2 linked regions of the Rhinolophus ferrumequinum genome follow. The protein of the gene in region 1 purifies or fractionates together with the protein of each later gene. This does not show direct contact. Links are inferred from orthologs where the notes say so. Each region holds a gene or a part of one and is shown on either strand. Other genes may lie near its edges.

Evidence for each region.
Region 2: the proteins of KCNQ1 (region 1) and AKAP9 purify together in Homo sapiens (affinity purification with western blotting; 3 studies listed by BioGRID and IntAct, with this or other methods). This does not show direct contact. The link is inferred for Rhinolophus ferrumequinum from reciprocal best matches to the Homo sapiens genes KCNQ1 and AKAP9.

Annotation. Positions count from the first base shown.
Region 1 is NC_046294.1:1,617,629-1,627,209, forward strand, and holds the start of KCNQ1 (potassium voltage-gated channel subfamily KQT member 1), read left to right. Parts: upstream 1-5,140; 5' UTR 5,141-5,258; coding exon 5,259-5,590; intron 5,591-9,581. UniProt on the Homo sapiens protein: Pore-forming subunit of the voltage-gated potassium (Kv) channel involved in the regulation of cardiomyocyte excitability and important in normal development and functions of myocardium, inner ear, stomach and colon.
Region 2 is NC_046303.1:34,136,311-34,146,244, forward strand, and holds the start of AKAP9 (A-kinase anchor protein 9), read right to left. Parts: upstream 4,549-9,934; 5' UTR 4,416-4,548; intron 3,619-4,415; 5' UTR 3,525-3,618; coding exon 3,465-3,524; intron 2,631-3,464; coding exon 2,433-2,630; intron 1-2,432. Other genes in the region: A-kinase anchor protein 9, read right to left, coding at 4,946-4,996. UniProt on the Homo sapiens protein: Scaffolding protein that assembles several protein kinases and phosphatases on the centrosome and Golgi apparatus. Required to maintain the integrity of the Golgi apparatus. Required for microtubule nucleation at the cis-side of the Golgi apparatus.

The sequences.
Region 1 (9,581 bases):
GGACAAGGCACTGGCCAGGAAATTGCCCACCACAGCATTGAATGACTAGGGACAGGTCACCTAGAACAGGTCTCCGGCCCTCCATTCTCCGAGTGACCAGGGACACCCACCAGACTCTCCAGCAAGGAAAGGCCCGATAGCTTCTCAGATCCCCCAGGTGGGCACTGCCTGGGCTCCTGGGGGCATGAGGCAGCCTGCTCCCTGGAAGGGTTAGCTGAGGGCCATGGGTGGTGGGTGGTGAGGTGTTCTGTCAGATGGGGGCCCTGTGAGGGCTGGGGGGGGCCTCAGGTCTTGGTGATCAGAATTGGGGCGTGTTGGCCTTGGTCCCTACTCCCCAGCGTACGCTGGGCAGGCATGGGCCCGAGGGTCCAGCCTGATGTAGAAAGCCTTGACTTCAGGATATCAGGTCACACAGGAACCTGCAGGATTAGGGTGAGTGTCTAAGGGGCACATTTGAGGGTGATTTCACCAAAGAGGGCACTGGACCATGTATCCGTACGACAATTAGACTAGTAGTCAAAATAAACCCATGTCTTGGTTATGCAACTAGTTGGTGCAAATTCCCAGCAAAGACATTGCACGGTGGCCCTGCCAGCTGGAAGCTGACCCTGAACCCCAACCCTGACTTTTCTGCACAGAATGACTGCTGCTCAGAGATCCTGCGGGAGATCCGACCGGGCTCCAGGGGACTTTGGAGTCTCAGGGCTGGTCCCCAAGACACCTGCTTGGAAGGGGTGGAAGAGGCTCAGCGCCAGTGGGGCGGGGGGTGACTGGAGGTGACTGGAGGGGACCGCGGGGTGCTTGCAGTGCTGGCCACACGCCCTTCGCTGAAGCCACCCCCAGCCGCTGCACACAGCAAGTGCCAGCAGCCCCACGCTTTCGTAAATCTTCTCTTCTATTTGGAGAATTGAACTTGAGCCCCACAGAGTGTCCGGGGGGCTTCCTATCAGCTGGGCTGGGCCCCAAGGCTCTCTGAAAACTTCAGAGAGTGGGGAGCATGAGACCTGCTCACGGGAAGGGTTAATGTCACCCGACTTAACCTCAGGCCAAAGAAAACATGCGGACAGTCCCGACCGCCCTGTGGCCCAGCGGGACCCTGGGTCCTGGGCGGGGAGGGGTGAGTGTGGGTGGGTGATTCTGCAGGCCGGGCAGCTAGGCTCCTCTCACCGCTGGCCTCTGACCCCACAGAATGTGGGGTGGGTATGGTGTGCAGAGGGGTGTTGGCAAAGGGCCACTGAGGAAAGGATAGTGCAGTGTTTCCAGAATGTTCTCAGGCCTGGAGACAGCCCATGGGCCTGAGAGGCAGGGAGGGGGTGACTCAGGTAGGTCTGTCAGCCTCAGTGTCCAGGACCCAGGGTGTGACATGTGCACCTAGAGTGGACTCAGAGCCCCTGTGCGGGTCCTGGGGAGGGGGCTGTGGGCAGGCGGGACTCCCCTCAGTAAAGGGAGAAACTGGAGGGTAGCTGGTGAGCCAGTGGGCTGGGTCAGGCCCACCTGCCCCAGGTAAGCAGGCTTGGCTTGTGTTTCCTGTTCCTGTGGGCTGGCCTCGCCCACCCCTGCACCAGCTCCGCCCACTCCCCACCCCCCTCACCCCCCGTCTTCACCCCTTCACTCTGGGCCCTTCCTTCCCTGAGCCCAGTGCAGCCCCAGGCCCACGTCACAGCCCCTGTGAACCTGGCCTCCCTCCTCTCAGCTCTCACCCCTCAGCCCATGGTCCTGTCCTTCCCCAGGACCCCCACCAGCTCCTCTGAGCTTGTAGGGAGCTCCAAGAGACCCCTTTTCAGCCTCTCATCCACCCCAATGTCCCCAGGCCAGTGGGGCCAGGATTCCCAGAGCAGGCTCCTGCACAGCTCAGACCCCATCCCCCCAAAGCCCCACCCCCCAGGTGCTTGGGTGGTTACTTGTTATAATTTTTTAAATATGGAAACATACACAGAAGTGAAGCACACAGTATCACGATTGTATTCACCACCGGCTCAACAGCGATGGATTCAACAATGACCAATTCAGTGGCCGGTTGGTTTAATCTCCACCCCGACTCTGGGCCCCTCCCTGTGGATTTTTTCAGAGCAATTCCCTCGACATCACATAATGAGTGTGGCTTCTTCAGACAGGGAAGGCAGGATAAACACTTGACAATGTGCCCTTTTCAGCTAGTTTTCAGACTAATGAGCCCCAGTCACTAACAAAGGGCCCATTAGAATTTTTTGGCATGATTATGAATTAATGGGTTTTTAAGATATTTGATATGTTTTAATCTATAATTCTTTTTGATGCACAAATTGTCCTCTTGCTGATCAGCCCCTCCTAAAATTTTTCAGTGGACAGAGCCAGAAAGTAATTTTGTTTCAAGATAAAATAGCTGAGGAGTTTTTGCTCATATTCCCAATTCCAATTTCAGAATTAGTTCCTATTTCTGTGATTTTATATTGGTATCTCTTTTCTCTTGTGCTGACAACCTTAGTTGCTAAAGAATTTAACATGATATATGTACATGTAATTTCAATATAACGTTACTAATATTATTACAAACAGTAATAATATTACTTTTTAATTAATTAATTAAATTAAATTTTTGTAATTAATATTACAAAAGGATTCTTGGGGGTCCTTTTGTCCTTTGAATGTTCGTGATTGTGCTGATAATATGTTACATAGCATAGTTCACCCATTTGAGGGGTGTTCTGGTTGTTTCTAACCTTTTGCTAATATGTAAATAATGTCACAATGAATAACCTTACGTGTATACTGTTTTCAATTTTTCCTCATATCTTTGGGTCAATTCCGACAAGTGGAACTAACTGGCTGGGTCCAATGGTACCTGCGCTTTTGCTGGTAGGACCAGGACGCCCTTCCCACAGGTGACCCTCGAGCACATCTGTTTTCCCAAGGCCTGCCTCACCCATGGAGCTCTCAGTCAAACACCTGGACCTACCCCAGATACTGTGTTTCCCTGAAAATGAGACCCAGCTGGACAATCAGCTCTAACACGTCTTTTGGAGCAAAAATTAATATAAGACTCGGTCCTATTTTACTATAAGTCCGGGTCTTATATAATATAAGACTGGGTCTTACATTAATTTTTGCTCCAAAAGACGCATGAGGGCTGATTGTCCGGCTAGGGCTTATTTTCGGGGAAACACAGTAGGTGAGCAATGGTCCTACAGTATCCTCTCAACGTGCATTTTTCTTGTTGTGTGTGATGTTGGACATCTTTCCCTAAGTGCAAAGGTCAGGATCTCCTTTTCCTATGAGCCATCCCTGCCTTGTGCCCTATAAGGCGGTCTGTCATTTTCTTCTTGGTTTTAGATGTTCTTTATGTATCAGTGTTACTAATCCTTTGCCTGTGATGTAAAATAAACTACAAACGCTGTCAGTTGGTCATTGCCTGTTTTACTTTGCTGATTTCAGCTATTCCCTCTGGATTTCTGACTGTCGGGAACGGATTCCCTACTCCAGTTTGTTGAGGAATTCAGCCCTGCTTTCTTGTAGAGTCAGCATGGCTTCATTTCAATGTTTATACTTAAGCCTGTCATTTGTTCGAAATTTATTCTTGTGCGTTGTGTGGAAGATGGATCAACTGTACCTGTATTTTCTTTCTCTGTGGCTCTCCAGTTGTCCTAATGCTGCCTATTAAAAGTTCATCTTCCTCCTGCTGACTGGGAAGTGGGTGTGTAGACACTGTTCCTTCATGTATGCATTCATCCCGAAAGAACTGCCTGAATGAAAGCCTGCTGTGTGCCTGAGTGTCCCCCTGGGGCCCTGTGGGGGTGGACTCTGCCTCCTTCTGGTTCTCTGCCCATTTGTGTCCTAACCGAAACACCTCCCAGCAAGGTTCCCTAGCTGCAGTGGCCGAGGTTCCCTGGTGCCTGGCACAGGCTGCGACCCACTTCATTCTCTCTGCCTGTACAAACTGCACTCACTGCAGGCACCATCCAAGGTGGGGGGAGTCAGGGAAAAGGGTGGGGGCTGCACTCTGTCCACCGTCAAGAGCTGACTTTCTGCTGGGGGGTACGTTAAATAAATCAGCCCAGGTTGCTCAGTGAAGACCTGGGAAGCGTCTCCCAAGTTATGGGACCCTGACATGGCTGGGGGTGGTTACCCCTCTGCCTAGGACAATGTCTCCAGAGAGTCTGTTTTTGTTCTGTGTGTTATCCCATCCTTCGCCCTGGCGCCCATTTAATGTGCAGTGACCCAAACGCCAGTGCAACGATGGCTGGAGGCAGTATAGGGGATCCACACAAACCACTGACTTCATCACCCACCTCTGCCCCCACCCCCACCCAGGGAAGCACACAGGACGCAGCGGCAGCCCCCTCAGGCCAGGAGGACAAAACACGCATGCCCCTAGGGTGGCACAAATGCCTCCCCTCTAGCTGCCCAGACAGCCGGGCCTGCTCTGCCGGGTCCAGAACCAGGCCTTGCTGTTTCCAGCGGTCCCTGCATCCTCTGCTCTTCTACGGCTCCCACTGGGCGGTCCCTGATTGATGGCTCCCCCTTGCCTCCAGGGTCCGACAACCCTAGTGGACACCGCGGAGACTGCATTCCTTTTCGCCGGCAGCGTGCCCCCCCACCCAGCACCCAGGGGGCGCTCAAAGTGTTCGCGGGGCTAACACTCCATCGTCCAGGTGCCAAGAGGGTCAGTCTGCGCGTGTCCCACTGCGCCCCTCCCTCCTCTTTTCCCTGTCCCCCTCTCTGGGGAGGCACAGAGGGCGTGAAGTGGGTCTCATGCGCCCTATGCAGCCCTACTGCCCGGGCCGCGCGGTTCGCTGTCGCTGCACCTGCGGGCCCCGCGCTTTTCTTTCTGGCTCAGCTGGGTGCTCCGCGCGGGCCAAATCAGGTGGGCACAGGTGGGGCCAAGCAGGTCGGCTTGCGGGCCGAGCACGTGGGCGTAGATGGGGCCGAGCACGTGGGAGAGGGCGCGGCCAAGCCGGTGAATGCGAAAGGGGCGGGCCGCACAGGTGGGTGCAGACGGGGCAGGACCAAGCAGGTGCGCGGTTGGGCTCGGGCTGGGGCTCCCCAAGCTCGCCGGTTGCCCGGGGGCGGGGCTTCTGGCCCTGGGCGGAGCGCGCTGTCCCCGGGGACCGGCCGGCGGCCACCGCCCCCTTCAGGCCCCACCCCCACGCCCGGGCTGGGCAGGCAGCGGCCCCCCGTGGCTGGGGTGGCAGCAGCGGCTGCCCGCACTGCACCTGGGCTCCCGCCTTCGCTGCAGCTCCGGGTGCCGCCTCCCGGCCGGCCCCCGCCAGCCCTGCCTGGCCATGGCCGCGGCCTCATCGCCGCCCCGGGCCGAGAGGAAGCGCTGGGGCTGGGGCCGTCTGCCGGGCGCCCGCAGGGGCAGTGCGGGCCTGGCCAAGAAGTCCCCCTTCTCGCTGGAGCTGGCTGAGGAGCGCCCGGCGGGCGGCGCGCTCTACGCGCCCGCCGCGCCGCCCGCCGCCGACCTTGGCCCGCGGCCGCCCGTGAGCCTCGACCCGCGCGTCTCCATCTACAGCGCGCGCCGCCCGTTGCTCGCGCGCACCCACATCCAGGGCCGCGTCTACAACTTCCTGGAGCGCCCCACCGGCTGGAAGTGCTTCGTCTACCACTTCGCCGTGTGAGTATCGCCTCCGGCGAGGCCGAGCCCCGAGGGGCTTCTTCCGCGGCCGGGGAGGGGGGAGGGAGTAGGGGGAGCGCTGTGTCCCCGCCACCTGCCGCCGCCAGGACTGTATCCAAGCTGGGTGTGACTCGGAGCAGCCGTGAAGGAGGGAAGGAAGGAAGGGGTTAATGGGGAAACCACGCGGAGCCTGTTGCTTGAAGTTCAGGGACTCGGGTCTGACCTGTGAGGGACACCTGTGGCTGCGGTGCCAGGCTTCCCCCGGCCCTGCCCAAGCAGGGTGTGTGTGTGAGGGGGTGGGGGGGAGCCAGCTGGCGAGGAGTGACCAGCCCAGAAGTTGGCTCCACTCCTCCCTGGAGGAGCAGTCCAGGTGTTAATGCTTGGGGGAAAGGATGTGAGCCAGGGGAGCACAACCTTGGGTGCAGGGGAGAGAATTCCCCAGGGTCAGCTGGCACGGGCAACTCAGGGGCCCCAAGAGGAGAAGGCCCCATGCCCTTACTGGACGTCTACACCTGAGACTCTCCCAGGTCCAGGCAGGCCCTGTGGGGAGCGGTCTCCTGGGCCAGTGGGGGAAAGGCTGCCCTGGAGGGTGGCAGGCCTGGTGTGTGCCCGGAGGGGTCAGCATGGCGGTGGCGAGTGCCCACAAGGAGTCAAACTCATGAACACTCGGGCTGAGACAGAGGAGACTGGAGGAGGCTGGTTTCTGGCTGTCCGTCAGAGGAAGCTACGTACCCGGAGAAAGCAGGGCCCTATGGGCAGCACCTGGCTCCTGCTGCTGGTTACCCAGCTGGCTCCAGTCCCCAGAAAGGCTTGCTTGCGTGGGCCAGGGCATGGCGCTCCGATGCTTAGGAACGGGGCAGGAGGACGTTGCCTCCTCAGGGCCGCCCTCCTTGCTGCCTGCCGGGGGCCCGTCCCCCACATCTCGTGGCCCTACTTCCTGGCTGCCTGGCCAGCAGCCTCTTGATATGGTGCCAGCCTGTTCCGTGAACATTCAGTTGGTCATCCCGTCCCCAGGCTGATCTCGGGGCTCCTCTGAGGGCTGCATGGGGTGGTCTCCCTCTGGCTTCCTAGTGGCACTGCCCGTCCCTGCTGCTGTGGCTGGCCTCAGGCTGGGAGAGACCTGGGGGTGATCAGAGCCCTGTTTCTCCACTGGTGCCCCCAGGGCTGCAAGGGGACCCAGGCCCTGCCGGCTCCAAGGCTTGGAGCATCATCTCGGGCAGGTGAGGCGGCCTCAGCTTCCCACCTTTGCTCCTCTAGGAGTGCATGTGGTACCAGGGTTGCTGCCCTCCCTCCTGCGAGGGACCAGCTTCCCTGGCACGAGGGACAGAAACAATGTCCCCAGAAGCCTGGAAGGGCCACGGGTTCAAGCCTCTTCCCCAGCCCTGGCCCAGCCTTCCGAAGCGCCAGAGGGTACCTGAGCCCCATCCGTTGCCGAGGACGGCCCTGCCCACAGCTGCAGCAGCAGGGGCTTGTCTGGGGATGTTCCTGTGCAATGACCTCAAGGGACCCCACCTGAGTCCAATGCTGCTGTGCAAATGCTGCTGTGCAAACACGTGGCCAATGCCAGGCTTGTGGGTGCCGTGGTGCACGTGGGCTGCCTGCCTCCTAGCCCTCACCTGCTGGGCCCCAAACTCCCTGAGATGCCCAGGGGTGGGGCGGACCCCACAGCTGGGTCCTGCCGTAGACCCTGCCAGCTGTCTTTCTGTCCTGCATCTTCCATGCCAGCACAGGCAGTGGGAGGCGTGGGCAGTGGGCTGCCCAGGGGTGCTGCAACGCCCCTACCCCCAGGGGCCTGCCAGGGAAAGGGGCCACCCGGCACCCCACTGGTTCCCATCTGGGGGATGCAGGCTGGCGGGCGAGTGTGGCCCCGGCTCCTGGCCACAGCACTGCCGTGGAGGAAGAGGGCTTGCCGCACCCCAGAGGAAGTCTCTGCTTACACTTGTGTTTTCTTCCTGATTCTGATTGTTTGGCTCTCGGAAGTTTGCTCAGTACAGTGCCTTTGCCCAGCCTCCCAGGAGCTGGCGGGGCAGTGGCTGAGTGGCCCCTCTGTGGGGGGAGCCGGGAATGGGATGCTCCTAAGGTGGCTGTGTGACTTCGGGTCAGCCTTTTGCCACCGTGGACCCTGTCCTGTAAGAGCTGTGCGTGGCCCCGAGGAGTGGATGCCTGCGCAGCTCCCCCGTGTAGGGTGGCAGTGGAGGTAGACCCTGGCCAGGCAGGGCGAGCAGCTTGTCTGGGGTCTGGGCAGGTGCCCCTTCATTCCCAGCCTCTCCAGAACGTCAGCAGAGCCCCAGAACTCTCCCAGGGGACCTGGGCCTTTGATCTGGGGTTGCAGGGGTGGCCTGTGCCTGACCGGTCGGAGCCGTGGAAGGGGATGGACGGTAGCCACTCTGGCCCTGAGGTTTCTCTCAGTCGCGGCCAAGATAGCAGACAGTGCTGTCCTTGGTGGGTCGGGTTGTGAAATATGCCACCCAGGGCCTGGCTGGGTTTCTGGGTGAGAAGGCTGAGCCTGGCCTTGAAGGGCAGGGGCCCCTTTGTGAGTGTGGGGCTTGGAGGTGGGAGCGCAGTCTGGGCAGCCCTGCAGAGCTGGGCACCCTCTCCCAGACGCAGCGAGGGAAGCAAGCCAGGATATCCTGCCCCTCCTCGTCATCGGGGAACCCCTGCCCCATCCTGTGTGCCCCTGGCCTGGCCTGTCTGCCGGGGTCAGGGAGCAGGACGCTGTTGCTCTGGCCACTGCCCCTGCCCACTGGGCTTCCTGCCCCTCCCCCCATCCTCTTCCAAGGCCCTTCACGTCTGCAGCTCCCACCCTAGCTGAGGGCACAGGGCAGGGGAGAGTCCTGGCAGCCCTGCTGATGGGCCTGAGCTGGGATGGGGAGTGGTGGGTGACCAGGTAGGGGTGCCCACACTGGAGAGGGAGCCAGGGTTCCCATAGCAACCGCCTCTGCCGCTGCCCTGCTTTCCTGTGGAGGGCAGGATCAGGGCTGCCCCCAGGGCTCCTCAGCCCTCCTCTGGCTGGTGACGGGTTTCCAGTCATAGGAGCCCCCAGGAACCCCATCCTTCCCACTTCTCCTTCTCCCCCTCTTCTCCCCTCCCTTCCCGCGGCTCTTGGGAGCTGCAGGATGACAGGTGCATACTCTTTTCTCAGCTGCTGCTCCCCCACCCTCCTCCCCATGTAGCCTGGACTCCCCCAGCCAGGCTGCTGCTGTGGCTGTCTGCCCTGGGCGAGCCCCCTCCTCTGTGCCTCAGTTTCCTCCTGCAGCGCACAGTGCCGCCTGTGGTCAGTGTCCATTGTGGTTGGGAGACACTTGGAGACCCGGCTGAGAAGAGGGGTTTGCCAGCGGGTCCCAGGGCTTAGTAGATGGGGCTAGATTCTCAAACTCGGCTTGGTGCCACCTGTCCCCGCCCTCCTGCCACTGCCTTTCCCTGGTTCCCAAGAACTTTCTGGTGGCTTTGGCGGCACCTTCACAGAGGTGTTAATCATTGATGGTGCTGGAAGCTGGCCCTGGCAGTTTGTTGGGCTAAGCCTGCCTTTCCAAAAGTGGAGGCCAGTCCATGGGCCACATGTCTCCACCCGGTGGCTCCCGGTGGTGTGAGGGTCCTGCAGTTCAGCAGACTCTGAAGAGTAGTTGGCTGGGCGGGAGGTGGGGTGGGCTCCCATGGAGAGCGGAGGGGGGTGTGGCGGCTGGATACAGAGGGCAGGCTGTCTGATCTTTTCCTGCCGTGCACTCAGGTCCCTGGGGTCAGGAGGGTGTGTAGAGCAGGACGTGGGGCTGGCCGGACGGTGCATGGAGCTCAGACATGGGCAGGGATGGGCTTCGTGTCCAAGTGTGGCCCCGTGGCTGGGCCACCTTGCCAGGTCCCTGAGCCCTCCGAGTCTGCATCTCCTCAGGTGGGAGACAGTCACCACCTGTGCCTGGCACAGTCAGAAGTCTTTGCCAGCTCCCGAGGGGGTGCCAAGGGCGCTGGAGGGACGGGAGAGGCCCCTTTCTAGTCA
Region 2 (9,934 bases), on another chromosome or scaffold:
TCATAATTTACTCATTTATCAAATAAGTATTGAGTAGCTGCTATGTGCCACACATTATACCAACTGCTGAGGAAATAAAATACAATTAAAAAGTGATTGTTCCAACATACATCATCTCCTCCCTAAAGCCTACCCTGAATCGCTTCCTTTATGAAGCCAGACCTACTCAGAACTTTCAACACACCTTTTATCTACACTTATCCTCATTTTATTGTTTTGTGTATATGTCATGCTAAATCATGCGTTCCAGCGAAGAAAAGGGCATATTTTAAGCATCACTGTATCCTGCAAAGGCCTGCTACAAAACAGGTATTTATAAACATCTACATAATCATTTGTAAATTACCTTGGTTGTAAAGTATGTCCATTTCGTAATTCCAATACCTTAAATTTGTGTATTTCCTGTTTTCCTAAGAGCAGTATCTGAAGTCAGAGTACCTAGATTTGAAATCTGGTTCTACCAACTTATTACCTATGTACTTTGGCAAATTGCTTCATCTTGCTTTGCCTTGGTGTCCTCATCTGTAAACGGGAGGTGATAATGGTAACTCTGCCTCATAAATTTGTTGTAATGGGTCAATGAGTTAATATGTGTAAAATGCTTTGAATCCTGCCTAGTACCAAGTGAACAAAAATAAATGCTAGCTGGGCCGGCCCGGTGGCTCAGGCGGTTGGAGCTCTGTGCTGCTAACTCCCAAGGCTGCTGGTACGATTCCCACATGAGCCACTGGGCTCTCAACCACAAGGTTGCTGGTTCAACTCCTCGAGTACCGCAAGGGATGGTGGGCAGCGCCCCCTGCAACTAAGATTGAACACGGCACCTTGAGCTGAGCTGCCTCCCAGATGGCTCAGTTGGTTGGAGCGCATCCCCTCAACCACAAGGTTGCTAGTTCAATTCCTTGAGTCCCACAAGGGATGTTGGGCAGCGCCCCCTGCAACTAGCAACGGCAACTGGATCTGGAGCTGAGCTGCACCCTCCACAACTAAGACTGAAAGGACAACAACGTGACTTGGAAAACGTCCTGGAAGTACACACTGTTCCCCAATAAAAGTCCTGTTCCCCTTCCCCAATAAAATCTTAAAAAATAAAAATAAATAAATGCTAGCTAACACTTTTATATAATACTCGTCTTGGTAACTCAACCTCTTTCAGAAGACCCTCCTAAGTTTATAAAAAGTACTGTTATATGTATAGTCTGTCCTTGTTATTCACAAAGTCTGTATTTGCAAATTCACCTACCTGCTAAAATTGATTTTTAACCCCAAAATCAGTACTTGCAGCCATTTTCAGAAGTGCACGGAGTGTCAAAATCCTTGAGGTGATAGACACGTGTATTTCTGGCTGACGACAAACAAGGCTGCCCTCCTGTTTCAGCTCTCGTGCTGAGAGGACAGAGACCCTGCAGTGCAAGAAATTCTGACCCTGGGCCAGTTAGACTGGGTTTGAATCCCAACTCTGGTAACTGGGGTGGCCTCAGGCAAGTCACTTAGCACTTCTGAACCTCACTTTCTCTTTTGAAAAGTAAACAAAATATAATCTACCAGCATGAGCTGTTTTTAGGATTTAAGACTATAATCTGTTATGTATATGTGTGTATCCCCAAAGAGTACTTATTTGCTAAATAGTTGTCCCAGGCAACTATATAAAATATAATTACCTTTTCCCCAAAAATAAGACCTAGCCAGACAATCAGCTCTAATGGTCTTTTGGAGCAAAAATTAATATAAAATCCGGTATTATATTATATTATATATTATACCTGGTCTTATAGTAAAATAAGACCGGGTCTTATATTAATCTTTGCTCCAAAAGACGCATTAGAGTTGATGGTCCCGCTAGGTCTTATTTTCGGAGAAACACGGTACCATGGACAATGAGAACTGTATTTTTTTCTAATTAAAATCCATAAAAAAAAAAATCCATATAATTTCATTCTGTTATGAAAATATTTTCAGAATTTCATAACCATATCTAAAATGAGTAGAAATACCTTTATTTATTTATTTTTTTTTTTAAGGAGGGCGCAGCTCACACTGGCCCATGATGGGATGGAACCGGCAACCTTCGTGTTATTAGCATCAGGCTCTAACCAACTGAGCTAGCCAGCCACCCTTAAAATGAGTAGAAATACCTTTAGATGGGGAAAAAAAAAAAAAGGACAGAAATTCTGGTTATAAATTTAGATTCTCCTGAAAACTCAATTTAACATAGGCCGGTCATTTTCAAGGAACTCAGTAACGAGTATTAACTTAAAAATTTTTATTATAAGATTCCTAATTGCTTTGAAATAAATTTTAGAAACTTAAAGAGCTTTTCTGAATTACAAAATTTTGTGATTCATGTACATAACAAGATAAATATTTACCTACAAAACTTTAAAGTTAATTGTAAAGCTGCTGCAAGTTGGCTGACTTCTTTAAAATAAACATACCATTTCATACGCTTTAATTTTCTCTTGCAAAAAACTGATTTGCAATTTGAAGTCTTCCTTCTTTTTCTGATAATCTTCTAATAGATGGTCTTGTTCTTCTAGCTGCTGCTGATGAGTAAGAATCTGTTGTTTGGCTTGTAGTAAATCTGCAGCTGTGCTACTATGAGAGCTGTTTCTCAGCATTTCACTAGCTTGTAACTTGAAAACAGAAAGAAATCACAAGGTATTAAATTCTGCAGTGACGGCACTAAGGAATAGACATCTTTTGGGGTATTAGTTGGCTCACAAATGCTCTCTGGGAACTGTGCTGAATTTACAGGCTTGAGACCCCATCAAACTACTGCCATGGCTGACCAGATGAGTGTGGGCATGTTACCCAAACTGAACCAATAAGACTATCTTTCCCATGATCAAGCAGAGAAAGTAGTCTAGTGAGAGAGGTAACACTGAGACAGACATACTGAAAGAAATGGGGCCTGAAAGGCAATACTTCCTGGATTCCTGAGGACTTTCCAGTTTCTGATCCCAGTCCATTTCAGAGGCGTGGTGGTATTTCTGCCTTGAATTCTATTAAGATAAGCCTGTATCCTTATATTAAATTCCTCCCTTTTGCTTAAGCTATCTCAATTTATTTTCTGTTACTCCCAATCAGAAACCTTGATTAATACAATTAGACTCTTAGGGCTCTAATTAAAGGTAAATGGACTATATTCAGTCTAGTTACCATTTCAGACTCTAAAATAAAATCATACCAGGGTTGGCAAAGGTAGGATGTGACTACATGTTAATTTCTGCAAATCTACACTCAATCAGACTTATAAGGTTTTGTAGGATTTCAAAATACAAAGAAAGAAACCATGCAAAAAATATGAATTAAAGTCTTGGATAATATAACAAGAGGTATTAACTAGTTTTCCAAACATAATATGAAATAAGCAAATGGTTTTAAACAAATTTAAAATGGTAGTGGAAAGTGTGAAAAAAAATTAATTCCTTTCTAAAAATCTAATAAATTCTACTACTAATACTTACATGCTGAAATTGAATCTGTAATTTTTGACTTTGTTCTGTCAACTCTAAAAATTCTCTCATTGTCTCATCCTTTCTCTTCTTGCTTGTTGTAAATTAGCAGTAAGCTGGGTTATGATGCCATCTCTTTGTTTAATGGCTGCTTCAATTCTTGTAACTAAAAAACACCGATGAATAGTAAGTGCTAAACTTCTATTTTTTAACAAATCAATCATTATTATAGGTAACTGTTCTTCAAAAATATGATATTCACAACTCATTGGCAGAATCATTACAATTTGTAAGCAACCTTATTCACATTTGAAAGCTATTAGCTTGCAGGAATTGGTTTTACTTCCAAATCAACCTTTAAAAAATTATCTGAACTTAGAAACAAAACATATTAGGTCTGACTTATCCATATATCTACTGCTAGAAGGACAGTGCCTTTATATTCAGGGATGCTTCCATCTGTTCCTGGGCAACACCGTCATAGACAAGTTAAATCTCACTCATTTCTGGAGAGGGTAAAAGTGAAATGCGTTTTGTCATCCTCATCGACGTCCTATTTCATCTTGTTTTCATAACTGACTGCGACAAACAACACGTCACTTTAACCACAAGTGGTCACTTATAAGGACTCGCTGACATTTTTAATGAGTTTAAATCATCGTATTTTGATGTGGTTTGCACAATAATTTTCTCGCAGGTTGATTACAAAAACGTCTATTCTACTAAAGTGATTTCAACCTACCTATCCCATAATGTAAAATAAAAGAGTCCACGTTTTATTAGACCTGTTAATGAAATCCTAGTTTTAAAGAACGTGGTTTTGATATACACATAAGGACAAGTATCATCAGCTGACCTTAAGTTACCATTTAAAAACCCCATCTTTAAAGAATGTACGTACACTATCATTCAAATTTCCTATTTTTGTTTTTGTGAGTAACAAGACACATAAGGTAAACATACTTGCTGCAGTCCTTCAGTCCCATAGGTGGCCCTCATTTCTTCCAGTTCTCTGTTTAGTTCTTCAATATCATGCTGTTTGCCAACCAATTCATTTTCCATCATCTCTAGTTGGGTCTGATTGTATTGTGCTCCATGTTCCAAGTAAGAATCATCAACACCAAATTCTTCTTCCTAAATCAATCCAAGATTTTGAATAATTCAGTACAAACAACACTCCGCAGGAAGAATTAGTCAAATATTCAAAGCCAAGTCCACTTTAAAACATCACTCATCACCTGGGAGTTCACTGGTATGGCAAGCTCCATTGTTGTTAATGTGTTATGTACCTCAAGAGCAAAACAAGTTATCTGCAAATTCTGTTACAATTGAGTTTTACAACAAAGGCAGATAATTTTGTTTTGTTAAACCATTAAAGCATTTAAACATCACCCACAGAAAGAAATACATGCAGGAAAAAGCTTTGTTAGTAAGCCAGATGGTTTTAAATAATATAAAACATTAGTATCATAAGTAGTTTTAATACTATACCCTTAATAATTTGTAGGCTTTTCTGCTCCCACCACAAAACTGCAACCATTTACCTGTATAAAAACAATTTCCTGATATATTATGATTTTAAACAGAATTTTATTTAAAGCTAATAATTATATACCAGCTAACTGTATTCATGCCTCTTTTACGCCTAAGGAAAATGTCACATTGGCAGAAACAGATATAGTGTTTATCTAAAAGACATTATGACCATTTCAAATGCCAATCATTCCTCAAACATTTGAGTGCTTACAATCCAAAAGACACTGTAGTATACATTATCTTTAAGTGATCTAAAGTTCTAAGTGTAGTTTCTATTTTGTCTTCAGAAGGATAACTATAAACTTCAAGTTACTGGATCCTCTTCTACAAAATATTGCCTTAAAATCATTTAAATAATTGGTTTTTTTAATTAAGTCCTATTAATTTTAAAGTCAAACTGTTTACTGGTACAAATTAATTGAAGGTTGGCAAGCAGGTCAAGTTGTAGGAGGAGATGAAAAAGTGAGGAACACTCCCTCAAACTTTCACCTGGGGGTAGTACTATTATACGTATCAACCCTGACCAATGTGGACATTTTCTATAATATATTACAGCCGGTCTCTAGCTCAGGCATTTTGTGGAGGAAGAATGACTGATACAATATGTTTGCAGGGTTGACCTGGTGTGAGACTAATTTTAGATCAATTAATCTATTTAACAACCTCCTCTTCCTACCAGCAAGAGTATACAAAGGAACTTCACTCCTCCTCACATGTTAATTATTCACAATTCTATGTTAATAGAATACAAGATAATGATGTTTTTACTGTTGAAATACGTAAGGTAGAGTATCCCAGAATTAGAATTAGATCCATATGGACCACAACACTTTTAAAAATGAAGATCCTAATCAAGAGTTCTTTATCAGAGTTCGATTCCTTTGGGGTTTTTTCCCCTAATTTCTGAAAAACAAAGCTAAAGTAAAAAAACAAAAAACAAAAAAACTTTTCGCCTTTATGGCAACACAATACTGAAATCTGTGAAAGTTATCAGAAAACAGGAGTACTACCTCTATCAGATTATTAATACCGAGTCACTTGCAATAACTTTCAAATTAAATACTCCTAAATTTCAATTAGCTTTTCTTAATTCTGAAATGATGCATTTTAATAAGTGTCTTAAAATTTTACTTTATAGTACAGTGTAACAAATGGATTTTATGTCTTCAAATATAATATTAAGCAATGGATGATATCACTGTAACATAATTAGTTAACTATGATTAATTGTATCTAACACATTATATAGCCAACATTAGCTTAATTTCTCACTAATTTAATCAAATTTTACACTAGACTAACTCACACACATAAACTTAAAATACTACGCAACTGTTTTCAAAACTTAATTATGTTATAATAAATATAAAAATCTTGTCAATATTAATAAATTTTAAAGATTCAATATCATGTAAATAAGTAATAAATGATTATTCACCAGAACTAAACTAAAACAAACCATATTTCAAAGTTAGAATAAAAACACGCATAATCAACACAATATTAGGACCATTAATATTTAGCAATAAATTATTCTATTTTTTAATGCAATAATGATTTTACTGATACCTAAGGGTAAAGCATTTATCTCTTATTTTTGCATTATTAGCTTTCTAACACTATACTTGGTAACCATAATGTGAAAGAAAATTAGTAACTTGAAACATGTAAAATTAGATTAATAGATTCCATTAACTGCAAAGAAGATCAACTTCTCTTAATGTTCTTTTTTACTGTGGCACTTGTCCACAGTTATTAACCTTTAGTCTATTCCCATATATTTTCTGAATTCACAGATTTACTTAATCTGTATAGACAACTTCAAGATTTGGGAAAGTACAAGTGAGGTACATTTTAATTTTAAAATGTTCTGCAGAGGTTAAGTATCATCTCGTAAAAATACTATACTACTATTCAGAAGGAATCAAAGGAATAATTTTTATTTTAAAACTATAAAATGGCCTTCACATAAAACTTTTCCTTTCAGTGAACACTAATTTAAAACCTAACTCACTCAACTCTTTATTTATGATTAATATCTTATCCTTATACTTAATTTGGTACTGCAAACATTAAGAAACAACAATGGATGTTTTAATAAAAAATAGGAAGGATATGATGGGTCATAAAAGTTCATAAAAATTACAGGAGTTCAAGTCCTAGCTGACTCATGGAATTGGAGCCAAGTAACTAATGAAGTTAAGATCATACATTTAAAGTCAAAGTTGAATATCAATTACCACTCTATATATCATAAATATACACAACATTTTTAATTGCCAATTATATCTCAACAAAGCTGAGGCAGAAAAGAAAATCAGATGAAGTAAAACAAAACAAACAAAATAACAAGTGAAAGTTGAAAAGCTAAGTTTGCATTACTTTATGGCTTTAGACTGTCTCTAACTCCAGCCAGTAATTACATAAATGTCATATATCATACAAGCACCTTTGTTAGGAAATATTAAATAATCAGATGACATCCGTAATGAAATTGTACGCCCTAACATTTCAGCTGTCTATACATAGCAAACCATATTCATTTATTTAACTGTCTTGTCTCTATGATGCCTGAAGCACTCCCCACTTTCTACAAATAACTGATCAATGGGTATCAATAAAAATATTTCATGTAGGGGCGGCCGGTTGGCTCAATGGTTAGAGCCCAGTGCTCATAACACCAAGGTCGCTGGTTCGATTCCCACATGGCCCAGTGAACTGAGCCCTCCACAACCTGACTGAAAACAACTTGACCTGGAGCTGAGCTGCACCCTCCACAACTAGACTGAAAACAATGACTTCACATGGAGCTGATGGGTCCTGGAAAAACACACTGTTCCCCAATTAAAAATTTTTTCTAAAAATTCATGTAAATATGGCATTCTGGATATGAAATGTCCTTTCATCAAGGACTCAACAGATCATGTATAATGTAAATTAATTCATAAAACAGTACCTTTTAATTTAATCTGATTTCCCTAATATACACGTGTAATTGGATATATGAGTATATTTATACAGAACAGATCAAAGGTAGGTCATAGGATAAAATTATCTCATTTTTCCCTAGGCCTGAGTACATTTTTCAATCCAAAAAGTATACTAGCCACAGAAGTCAAGAATATTAAGCACACACCATATTTATATATGTAAATTTCTAAACTGAGTTCTAACTAAACATATAATCAGAATCTGAAATCCTTCTGAGAATGTGTTAAAAGAATTCTTATCACTCACTTGTTTCATATACACTTTAGTGTGAAAAGCATATTTCTACTGAAAAGAGTAAAAACAACAAAAAAAGAGGCTTTGCTAATTATTTTTTATATACCAAACACCATACTAGATACTATCAAATAACCCTCATACCTACCCTGTAAGGTAGTATTAGTACTCCCATTTTACAGGAAAGGAAACTGTTTCAGAATTTAAGTGATTTAAGTGCCCAAATTCAGCTCAGAGGTGATGAAGCTGCGATTTGAACACAGGTCTTTCTGGATCCAAAGCCCCTACTCTTTTCTATCACCTTATTTCCCTAAATAAGTCCCAGAAAAATGACAGTGATATTTAGGCAAAATACAAGATACGTATGTAGCCTATGATTAAAACTATGTAATTTTTAAATTGTAAAATATTCAAATGCAAACCAGATATGCAAATACAAAATTTACATAAATGCAAAATTAATAAACTGCAAATCTGGCATTTTGTGGTGAACTTATAAAATACAGTATGTGTTGCCTAGAAAGGAATTTCATTTTGGGGGGATGTTACTGAAAGATAATTCCTTAAGAATTACAATATGACAAGTATTATAGTCTGAGATTTATTCCTTGGTTTACACATTTGATCTACTGATGATTCTTCTGCCTCCTGAAAAGGTGAACATAGCTGAGAAGTCCCCTATATGTAACTATACAAATATACAAAATTAAACACATATATGTAAAATACATTTCTTATAGTTGAACCACAGTCTGTATGTACTAACTTTTATTTATAGGACTTATATTTAAATACTATGTGTACCTTACTTTGAAACACATCGTATTTAAGTAGGTATCACAGATATATAGTTGCAATGTATTTTTCTGGACCTCATAATTCCCACCAGCTTTTTAAATTAAAAAATTTAGGTGAAAAGTATCTTATTATAACAGAATCGCCAATATTATTACTTCATATTTGCATAAAGAGAACATGAAAATTCAGTTTTTTGATGTCTTTAGCTTTCAAATCGTAATGAAAATTAAATTTTAGTCTTTTATCTCAAAGTGAGCAAATGGCTATGAAATTTTAACCAGATTTCATAGGCGTGTATGAGATGGTCTGACCTGTAGCCATCTGGCTTATAAAAAGTTCACTTTGGGGTAAAGGAAAAAATGCACTGTGGGGTACCCCAAACACACAGCTAGTTCAAGCACTTGAAACTTCCAATCAAGAAAGACAAGCTTTAAGAATTGAGGCATTGTATAGAAACAAAAAAGCAGTGTTTTCATTATAAACCACACATTTCAAATCACAAGGGCAGATTCTATGAACTGCACGCTGTAATTTTTAAATTGAGATACTTCCCATAGAGGCAACTTTAGGGAGCCTAAATCGGGCACCTATTTATTTATTTGTTTGTTTTTTACTGTTTCCCCAAAAATAAGACCTAGCCGGACAATCAGCTCTAATGCGTCTTTTGGAGCAAAAATTAATATAAGACCTGGTCTTATTTTACTGTAAGACCGGGTATAACATGATATGATATGATATAATATAATATAATATAATATAATATAATATAATATAATAACAGGTCTTCTATTAATTTTTGCTCCAAAAGATGCATTAGAGCTGATTGTCCGGCTAGGTCTTATTTTCGGGAAAACACAGTATTTATTTCCCTGTCCAGATTACTCATAAGTATATTCCCAGCTTTTAAACACATTAAATTTTTG